Kluyveromyces lactis: one gene and its partner. The protein of the gene in region 1 purifies or fractionates together with the protein of each later gene. This does not show direct contact. Links are inferred from orthologs where the notes say so. Each region holds a gene or a part of one and is shown in the gene's direction. Other genes may lie near its edges.

Region 1 (3,371 bases):
GGATGAACAGTAGAATCTAGCTGTTTCTTTGCATGCCAGAACTCAGGCGTCGTTTCTTTCAACTCTCCATGGCGATATGCACTGATGATTTTGCGAGCTTGTTGAAGATCATCACTGCTCGTTAACAACATCGTTGGATCAGAAATCTCTGCGCAGTGACGAACACGTCCCCAATAGGTGCTTAGATCATAACGAGATTCTGGTAGGGCAATTGGACCTGGGACACTGGATGCCATGATAAGCTGTACTCAAGTGTATCGAAGTCTTTTGGATGAGCTGAGCTTCTACGAGACAAACACGACTTTGTTCTTGCTTAATTACTTTCGAGATGAGATGACTCTTTAGATATAAATGCATTATTCTCTCGAGCTTGCATTTTTTTTTTTCATTCTGCAGCGTCAGAATGATACGTACGGCGTTACAAAGCTGCTGGAATTCTGATAAGAAAAAAGACAGTAATTATTGATCTAGCAATAGGTTATTATAATTCTCTTATTCTCGGAGAAACTGTACTAGTGAAACGATGATGATTCCAACCACTTCGATTTCCAATTTAGCAATAACATATTTGTCTTTGCCCTAATCATATTCTTAACATGTCTAAAGGTAATATGATAATTTACCCGGACAACTAATTTTCTCTGCCTGAAAAAAAAAAAGAACAGACATCCAGTATAAATTGAGAAGCTTTTCACCTTGAGAAAAAGACAAGGTTAAAGCAAGTACTCTAAGTTAATCAAATTCGAGTCGACTGTTCTTTTGATTATTTGGCTTAAAAAAGTGATACGAAACATATTAATGCCTTCTATTCACTGTGCCATCTGATACACCGTAGATGAACAGAGGGGAAAAGAACGGCTAGATGAAAATTCTATCCGCGAGCGTACCTCATACTGATTAAAGTACTTAACTATTTTTCATCAATTGGCTTTAATTGGTAGCTGCGTGAGCGGGACATTCTCTATCTCTTGTCACTCCTGAATTTACTTATACTTGTATATACCATATATTACTCGTGAAAATGTTTAGTATTACACGGTCATTAGTCTGTCACTTAGCTATTGGTGTACTGACTAATTTCCACTACCCGGTTCCTTAAAACATATACACGTGACTGGCATTTATTTCTGGCGGATTTCTTTTTCGAGCAGTGGTTTGTTTCCCAAAAATTTTCCAAGCTCATCGCATCTTACAACGCTTAGAAAATGTACAAGATAGGAAGAATAGAGTTAACGCGCTCCATCGTACCTCAGTAACAACGTGCGATCACAATCTATTAGACAATTCAAACTAGAATTCACTGGAAGAATATCTTAGTTATAAGGAGAAGTAAACTGTAGGGGAATATGTCAACAGATAAGACTCAGGTGAAGCTACGCTTCTTTACTCGTGAAGAAGATGAGACTTTACATGTCAATGATGCTCCAATCTATGCTCCAGTTAGTCTAAAGAGATATGGTCTTTCTGAAATTGTTAATCACCTACTGGAATTACCTAAATCTATGCCATTTGATTTCCTTATCGATGGTGAACTTTTGAGAACATCGTTGCAGGACTATTTGATCAAGAAAGGTTTATCATCGGAAACCTTTTTGAATGTTGAATATACTAGAGCAGTGCTACCACCTTCATATTTGTCTAGTTTTGATAACGAAGATTGGGTAAGCTCATTGGATGTCGGAAGCAATTACATCTACAGTGGTTCCTATGACGGTATCGTAAGAACGTACAACTTGTCAGGGAAAGTCGAAAAACAATACAGTGGTCATTCTGGCCCTATTCGTGCTGTGCATTACATTTCTAGTACGAGATTGGTGTCCGCAGGGAATGATCGCACTCTACGTCTGTGGAAAACGAAGAATGATGATTTGAAATCAATTGATGAAGAAGAAATTGAGGATGGTAAGACATTGGCCATCTTGGAAGGTCATAAAGCCCCTGTAGTGTCCATTGATGTTTCGAAAGACCGTATTCTATCTGCATCATGCGATAATACGGTGAGCTTGTGGTCCACGAATTATAAAGAGATGACTGTCATTGATCCGATGGAGGATTTAGGAGGCAACGTGTCTACTGCAGCCAAGAAGAGGAGAAAGTTGACTCTAAAAGATGGATCTATCAGAAGAAGAGCCCCTTTGGCTCTTTTTGAATCTCACAGTGCTCCAGTAGAGGCTGTCATTTTCGATAAATCGGATGATACTGTTGGGTATTCCGTGTCACAAGATCATACTATAAAAACATGGGATCTGATAACGGCAAAATGTGTCGATACAAAGACGACATCGTACTCACTTCTTTCTGTTGCGCAACTACCAAAATTAAATCTCTTAGCATGCGGGTCGAGTGCCAGACACATTACTCTTCATGATCCTCGTGTAAATTCTTCATCTAAAATCACCCAACAGCAGCTTGTAGGTCACAAGAACTTCGTTGTCGCTTTGGATACTTGTCCAGAAAATGAATATATGATATGCTCTGCATCTCACGATGGAACTGTCAAGGTTTGGGATGTTAGGTCTAACACTGCAATGTACACTATCACCAGAGAAGATAAAAATGTTGTTAAAGGTGTCAATGATAAAGTGTTTGCTGTCAAATGGGCTAAAGGCGTAGGTATCATCAGCGGTGGTCAAGACAAAAAAATTCAAATTAATAAAGGTGATAATATATTTAGTAACTAATCGTAATTTTATATATTATATACAGGAATTATGCTCACTAGTTCACTTAAATATAAAAGAAATGTACCACAAAAAATGTTGAGAAACAACATAGTATTTGCAGGGTTCTAATGTTAATTATCTTTTTAGTTCCGAATGGAATTTGGCTAGACCATAAAACCCTTGGAATAAGGATTCGTAGTCTGTTAGGTAACCATTCAAATTTTTAACATCAACCTGGTTGGAATGATCTTCCCATCCACGTAATTTACGTAGTCTTGCTAGCTCATCGTATGTGAATTGTACTAGTGGTCTAGTTCCGTATTTCAACGGTCCAACATTAACCCAGTGTAAACGTCCTGTACAATTGTTAGAAAGCATCTCAATAGCATTGAAGTAATCAAACATGTTTGCTGCTGTGTCAATAAAGAATGCAGAACATACTATTATATTTTTGTATTTTTTCTCTGGTTTATAGCAGCAAAAGTCACCGAAAAGTACTGTTAAGTTCTCTGGCTTTTGGAACTTATCCAAGTCCATCCTAAAGTGCCTGGTTTGCGCTTCCATACTTTGTTGACCACTATAAATTTGATAGAAGGGATCAACGGTGATATTGTCCGTAGTTCCGAGGACATATTCGTTACACAAATACATCAAAGACGAGTATTCAATAGATGTAACCTTTGCTTTTGGAAATCGATTGGCTGCCTC
Region 2 (4,328 bases), about 600 kb from region 1:
AAAGTCTCCATAGGAATTTTCTTACCGTGGTATTTTTCCTTCAAAGCATCATCATGGAAGGTCAAATAGTACTCAATTGGTTTTCCTGGTAATTTGCATTTCTCATTCAAACGAGGAGAGTAAGTGGATGCAATTGTCCAAAAGGCCATTAAAATTGGGATAGCAAACAGTACGGCAAAGAACAAGAAGGTTTTGAGACCTCCCCCAACTTTCCTTGTTACATAGTAAGGAATACCACCGAGCAAGGAGAATAATAACCAATTGGAAAAGTGTCTGGAAGAAGGTCCCTCTGCAGGCAATGGAGCGTTCTTAATAGCTGGTGATGCTGTCGTTTTCACGCCATATTTGGAATTCACTGGTTCAGGAGTTTCCGCCGGAGGAGTCTCCTTAAACTGAATCGTTTCAAATGAATACTTACTCATCTTCCCGTGTATTCAACGCAGTGGATACTAGATTGATATCTTGCGCAATTGAATTAAACAATACTTTATGTACAAGTATCTCATACAACCATAAATTAATCAAGTAAGTAAGTACTTGAAAGGATTTTTGATTTTTGCAGTTTTATTTTGGAATGCTTTTCTTCTTCCTTTTTTCTCTGTCTGTAACGTGTATCGTTCTACTGGCTGGAATGTACAATACGCAGATATTCTGGCCAAATATAGTGATACTGAACCCGGATGAATTAGGCTATATATACACCTACGTATAAGCGGGAACCATTATGTTGTGTGATAATTGGATATAAGATTGCAGTTACTGCCAATGGACCGAGAGGGCCATAGAATGCATCTCTATTTCGAGAGGCGGTCATAAATTTATTTAGCCTATGGTATGATCAGCAGTAGCAATAGTAGTAACTACCCATACCTATAATCTTGCAGAAATATTATAAGCATCGGTACCCTTATAGCCTGAGAGCGTTGCATAATTATTTGTAAACGTTGGCAGTGCTAATGGTTGAAAAAAAACCGAAATCATATTCCTTATTTAAAACTGTGGAACGCTAAGGGCCCTCTATATAAGTCTTGTGTTGTTACAGTAATATCAATATCCATGATAACACGTCCAAACAGATTTTTTACTGCTCGTTATTTTAACAGTGGAAACCGTGCATAGCATCAAAGCTGGCAGTTCCTCCAGTACAGTGTCCGGTGTTTCCATACCTGGTACCGCGAGCATTCTTAACCCGAACACCGCATCCAAAATTATTTCTTTTTCAGATAATTTTTCATTATTTGTGAGAAGAGTGACAATTTTTTATTTGAGAAATTGGTCTAGCGATGAGATGAGATGAGATGAGATGAGAAGAGATTAGTTGAACGTTGAACAGGTTACAACTGTTGTTTATTTGCTTTCTGATATCCTGTTCTCTTTTAGACTTGAGTGAATAGGTCACCATACATTACCGAGAAGACCAAGATGGGTAAGAAGACGCAAAAGAAGAATTCCAAAGGTCGTTTAGATAAGTACTATTACCTTGCTAAGGAAAAGGGCTACAGAGCTCGTTCTTCCTTCAAAATCATTCAAATCAATGAAAAGTATGGACATTTTTTGGAGAAGTCGAAGGTCGTTATCGATTTATGTGCTGCACCAGGTTCCTGGTGTCAAGTGGCTTCCAACTTGTGTCCTGTTAACTCCTTGATTATTGGTGTCGATATTGTTCCGATGAAAACTATGCCAAACGTTATTACTTTCCAAAGTGATATCACAACGGAAGATTGTAGATCGAAATTAAGAGGGTACATGAAGACGTGGAAAGCCGACACCGTTTTACACGATGGTGCTCCAAATGTTGGTTTGAGTTGGGCTCAAGATGCCTTCACACAGTCTCATTTAACACTGCAAGCCTTAAAATTAGCCGTTGAAAATTTAGTAGTTGGTGGTACATTTGTAACGAAGATCTTCAGATCCAAAGATTACAACAAGCTAATTTGGGTATTTCAACAGCTCTTCGAAAAGGTGGAGGCAACCAAACCTCCTGCTTCCAGAAATGTTTCTGCGGAAATTTTCGTTGTCTGCAAAAATTTCAAGGCCCCTAAGAAGTTGGATCCAAGGCTATTAGACCCAAAGGAAGTCTTTGAAGAATTACCAGATGGTCCACAAAACATGGAAGCCAAGGTTTTTAATCCAGAAAAAAAGGTCAGAAAAAGAGGTGGTTACGAGGAAGGTGATTATTTGTTATACCATGAAACTGGTCTTATGGACTTTATGAAATCAGAAGACCCAATAACTATGCTTGGAGAATATAATAAATTCATCGTAGACGAAGAAGATCATGACTGGAAAATTGTGAAGAAATTAAAGCAAACCACCAAAGAATTCTTGGCATGTATCGAAGATTTAAAGGTTCTTGGTAGAAAAGATTTCAAGATGATCCTAAAATGGAGAAAAGCAGCTAGAGAACTTTTAGGCTTGGATGAAGAGGAAGAAAAACCAGAGATTGAGGAAACACCTTTGACAGAAGAAGAGCAGATTGAAAAAGAACTAAATACTCTACAGGAGAAACAAAGGTTGTCTGTTAAGCGTGAGAAGAGAAAGAAGAACGAAATGAAACAGAAGGAAATTGTTCGTATGCAATTAAATATGATCAATCCAGTAGACATTGGTATCGAAGCTGCAGAGTTAGGTAGAGAATCAATTTTCAATTTGAAAACTGCAGAAAAAACGGGTATCCTTGATAAACTTGCCAAGGGTAAGAGAAGAATGATATTTGATCAAAATGAATTAGCCATAGATAACGATATCCACATTGATGAAAATGCGCCTCTGGATGATCGTGATGAGCTCGCTGAGGCTGATGAACTAGAATCCCAACTTGATGCCATGTACAGTAACTATAAGGAACGCAAGTCAGAAAGAGATGCAAAGTTTAGAGCTAAGCAAGCCCGTGAATCCAGTGAAGCGGACAACTGGAATGGATTCGAGGACAAACAAAGTGATGAAGAGAACGAAGAAGAAACTAAGGATTATGTTGACGACGATGACAACTCGGATCTTTCAGACTCTGACGATGATGAAGCTATCAATCAGTTGATAGCAAAATTGAAAAGTAGAGAAAACAGCAGCAAGTTAAGTTCTAAAGCTCGCGCGCTATTTTCCGATTCTTTATTCGAGGGAGTTGAACCAGATTTACCTGGTAAGGCGGATCTTGCGGATTCAGAGTCTGTGGGTGATGTCAAACAACTAACAAAGAAAAGAAAATTGAATCCACTTCCTGCAGAGCAGATTTCTGAAGCCGAATCTTCCGACGAAGATAGTGATTTCGAAATCGTCGCAAACAACGAAGATGGCGATGTAGACTCTGAGTATGATTCCGAAGAAGAGGCAAAGAGGACAAAACAAGAGAAACATTCCAAAGACATTGATATTGCGACCGTTGAAGCTATGACTCTAGCTCATCAATTGGCATTAGGTCACAAAACGAAACATGATTTAATCGAAGAGGGTTTCAATAGATATTCTTTCCGTGATATGGAAAACCTGCCCGAATGGTTCGTTGAAGAAGAAAAACAACATTCCAAAATTAATAAGCCTATCACCAAAGAAGCAGCCATGGCAATAAAGGATAAACTGAAGGCTCTAAATGCCAGACCCATCAAAAAAGTTGCTGAAGCTAAAGCCAGGAAGAAGCACCGTGCTGTTGCTCGTTTAGAAAAGTTGAAGAAGAAGGCTGGTCTAATTAATGATGACAGCGATAAATCTGAAAAGGACAAGGCTGAAGAAATTGCAAAATTGATGAGAAAGGTTACCAAGAAAGCAAAGCAAAAACCGAAGGTCACAGTTGTGGTTGCAAGTGGTAAGAATAGAGGTCTTTCCGGCAGGCCTAAGGGTGTTAAGGGTAAATATAAGATGGTTGACGGTGTTTTAAAGAACGAACAAAGGGCTTTGAAACGTATCGCTAAAAAGCATCACAAAAAATAAGGAATGCTAATCATATCACTTAATCCGTGAAATGGAATTGTACATTATATTTAGTCGTAGATAGAATATTGAATAAGATCAACCTACTTCAAAAAAGTTTTCTGATCAAATACAAAACAGAAAAGAGCACCAATCCCAAGGTAAACAGCTGAATACATAAGTTATCAGATGAGTCTAGTTTCGGAAGGTTAATTGTCATTTTAGTAGAATTTAGATAGTAAAATTTGGTGTTGTCAGTGAAAAAGTGTTCATATCCGATTTTTCCAGTATAGAAGGGTGACCGTTTCGTAAGTTCAATGGAAGTATCACAGGCATAAAATACTTGGGGAGTAAATGCTGCTTCAAAAAAAGCAGATCCATCGTTCGTTGGCTTGATATATCTACTGTGCAATGTAACCTCATTA

Evidence for each region.
Region 2: the proteins of YTM1 (region 1) and SPB1 purify together in Saccharomyces cerevisiae (affinity purification with mass spectrometry, with the first as the bait; 3 studies listed by BioGRID). This does not show direct contact. The link is inferred for Kluyveromyces lactis from reciprocal best matches to the Saccharomyces cerevisiae genes YTM1 and SPB1.

What each region holds. Positions count from the first base shown.
Region 1 is NC_006039.1:646,983-650,353, reverse strand, and holds YTM1 (Ytm1p), read left to right. Parts: upstream 1-1,346; coding exon 1,347-2,681; downstream 2,682-3,371. Other genes in the region: FSF1 (Fsf1p), read right to left, coding at 1-236; KLLA0_C07403g (uncharacterized protein), read right to left, coding at 2,799-3,371. UniProt on the Saccharomyces cerevisiae protein: Component of the NOP7 complex, which is required for maturation of the 25S and 5.8S ribosomal RNAs and formation of the 60S ribosome.
Region 2 is NC_006039.1:51,766-56,093, forward strand, and holds SPB1 (27S pre-rRNA (guanosine2922-2'-O)-methyltransferase), read left to right. Parts: upstream 1-1,422; coding exon 1,423-3,924; downstream 3,925-4,328. Other genes in the region: KLLA0_C00715g (uncharacterized protein), read right to left, coding at 1-422; PBN1 (Pbn1p), read right to left, coding at 4,013-4,328. UniProt on the Saccharomyces cerevisiae protein: Required for proper assembly of pre-ribosomal particles during the biogenesis of the 60S ribosomal subunit. Specifically methylates the guanosine in position 2922 of the 25S rRNA at the stage of 27S pre-rRNA maturation.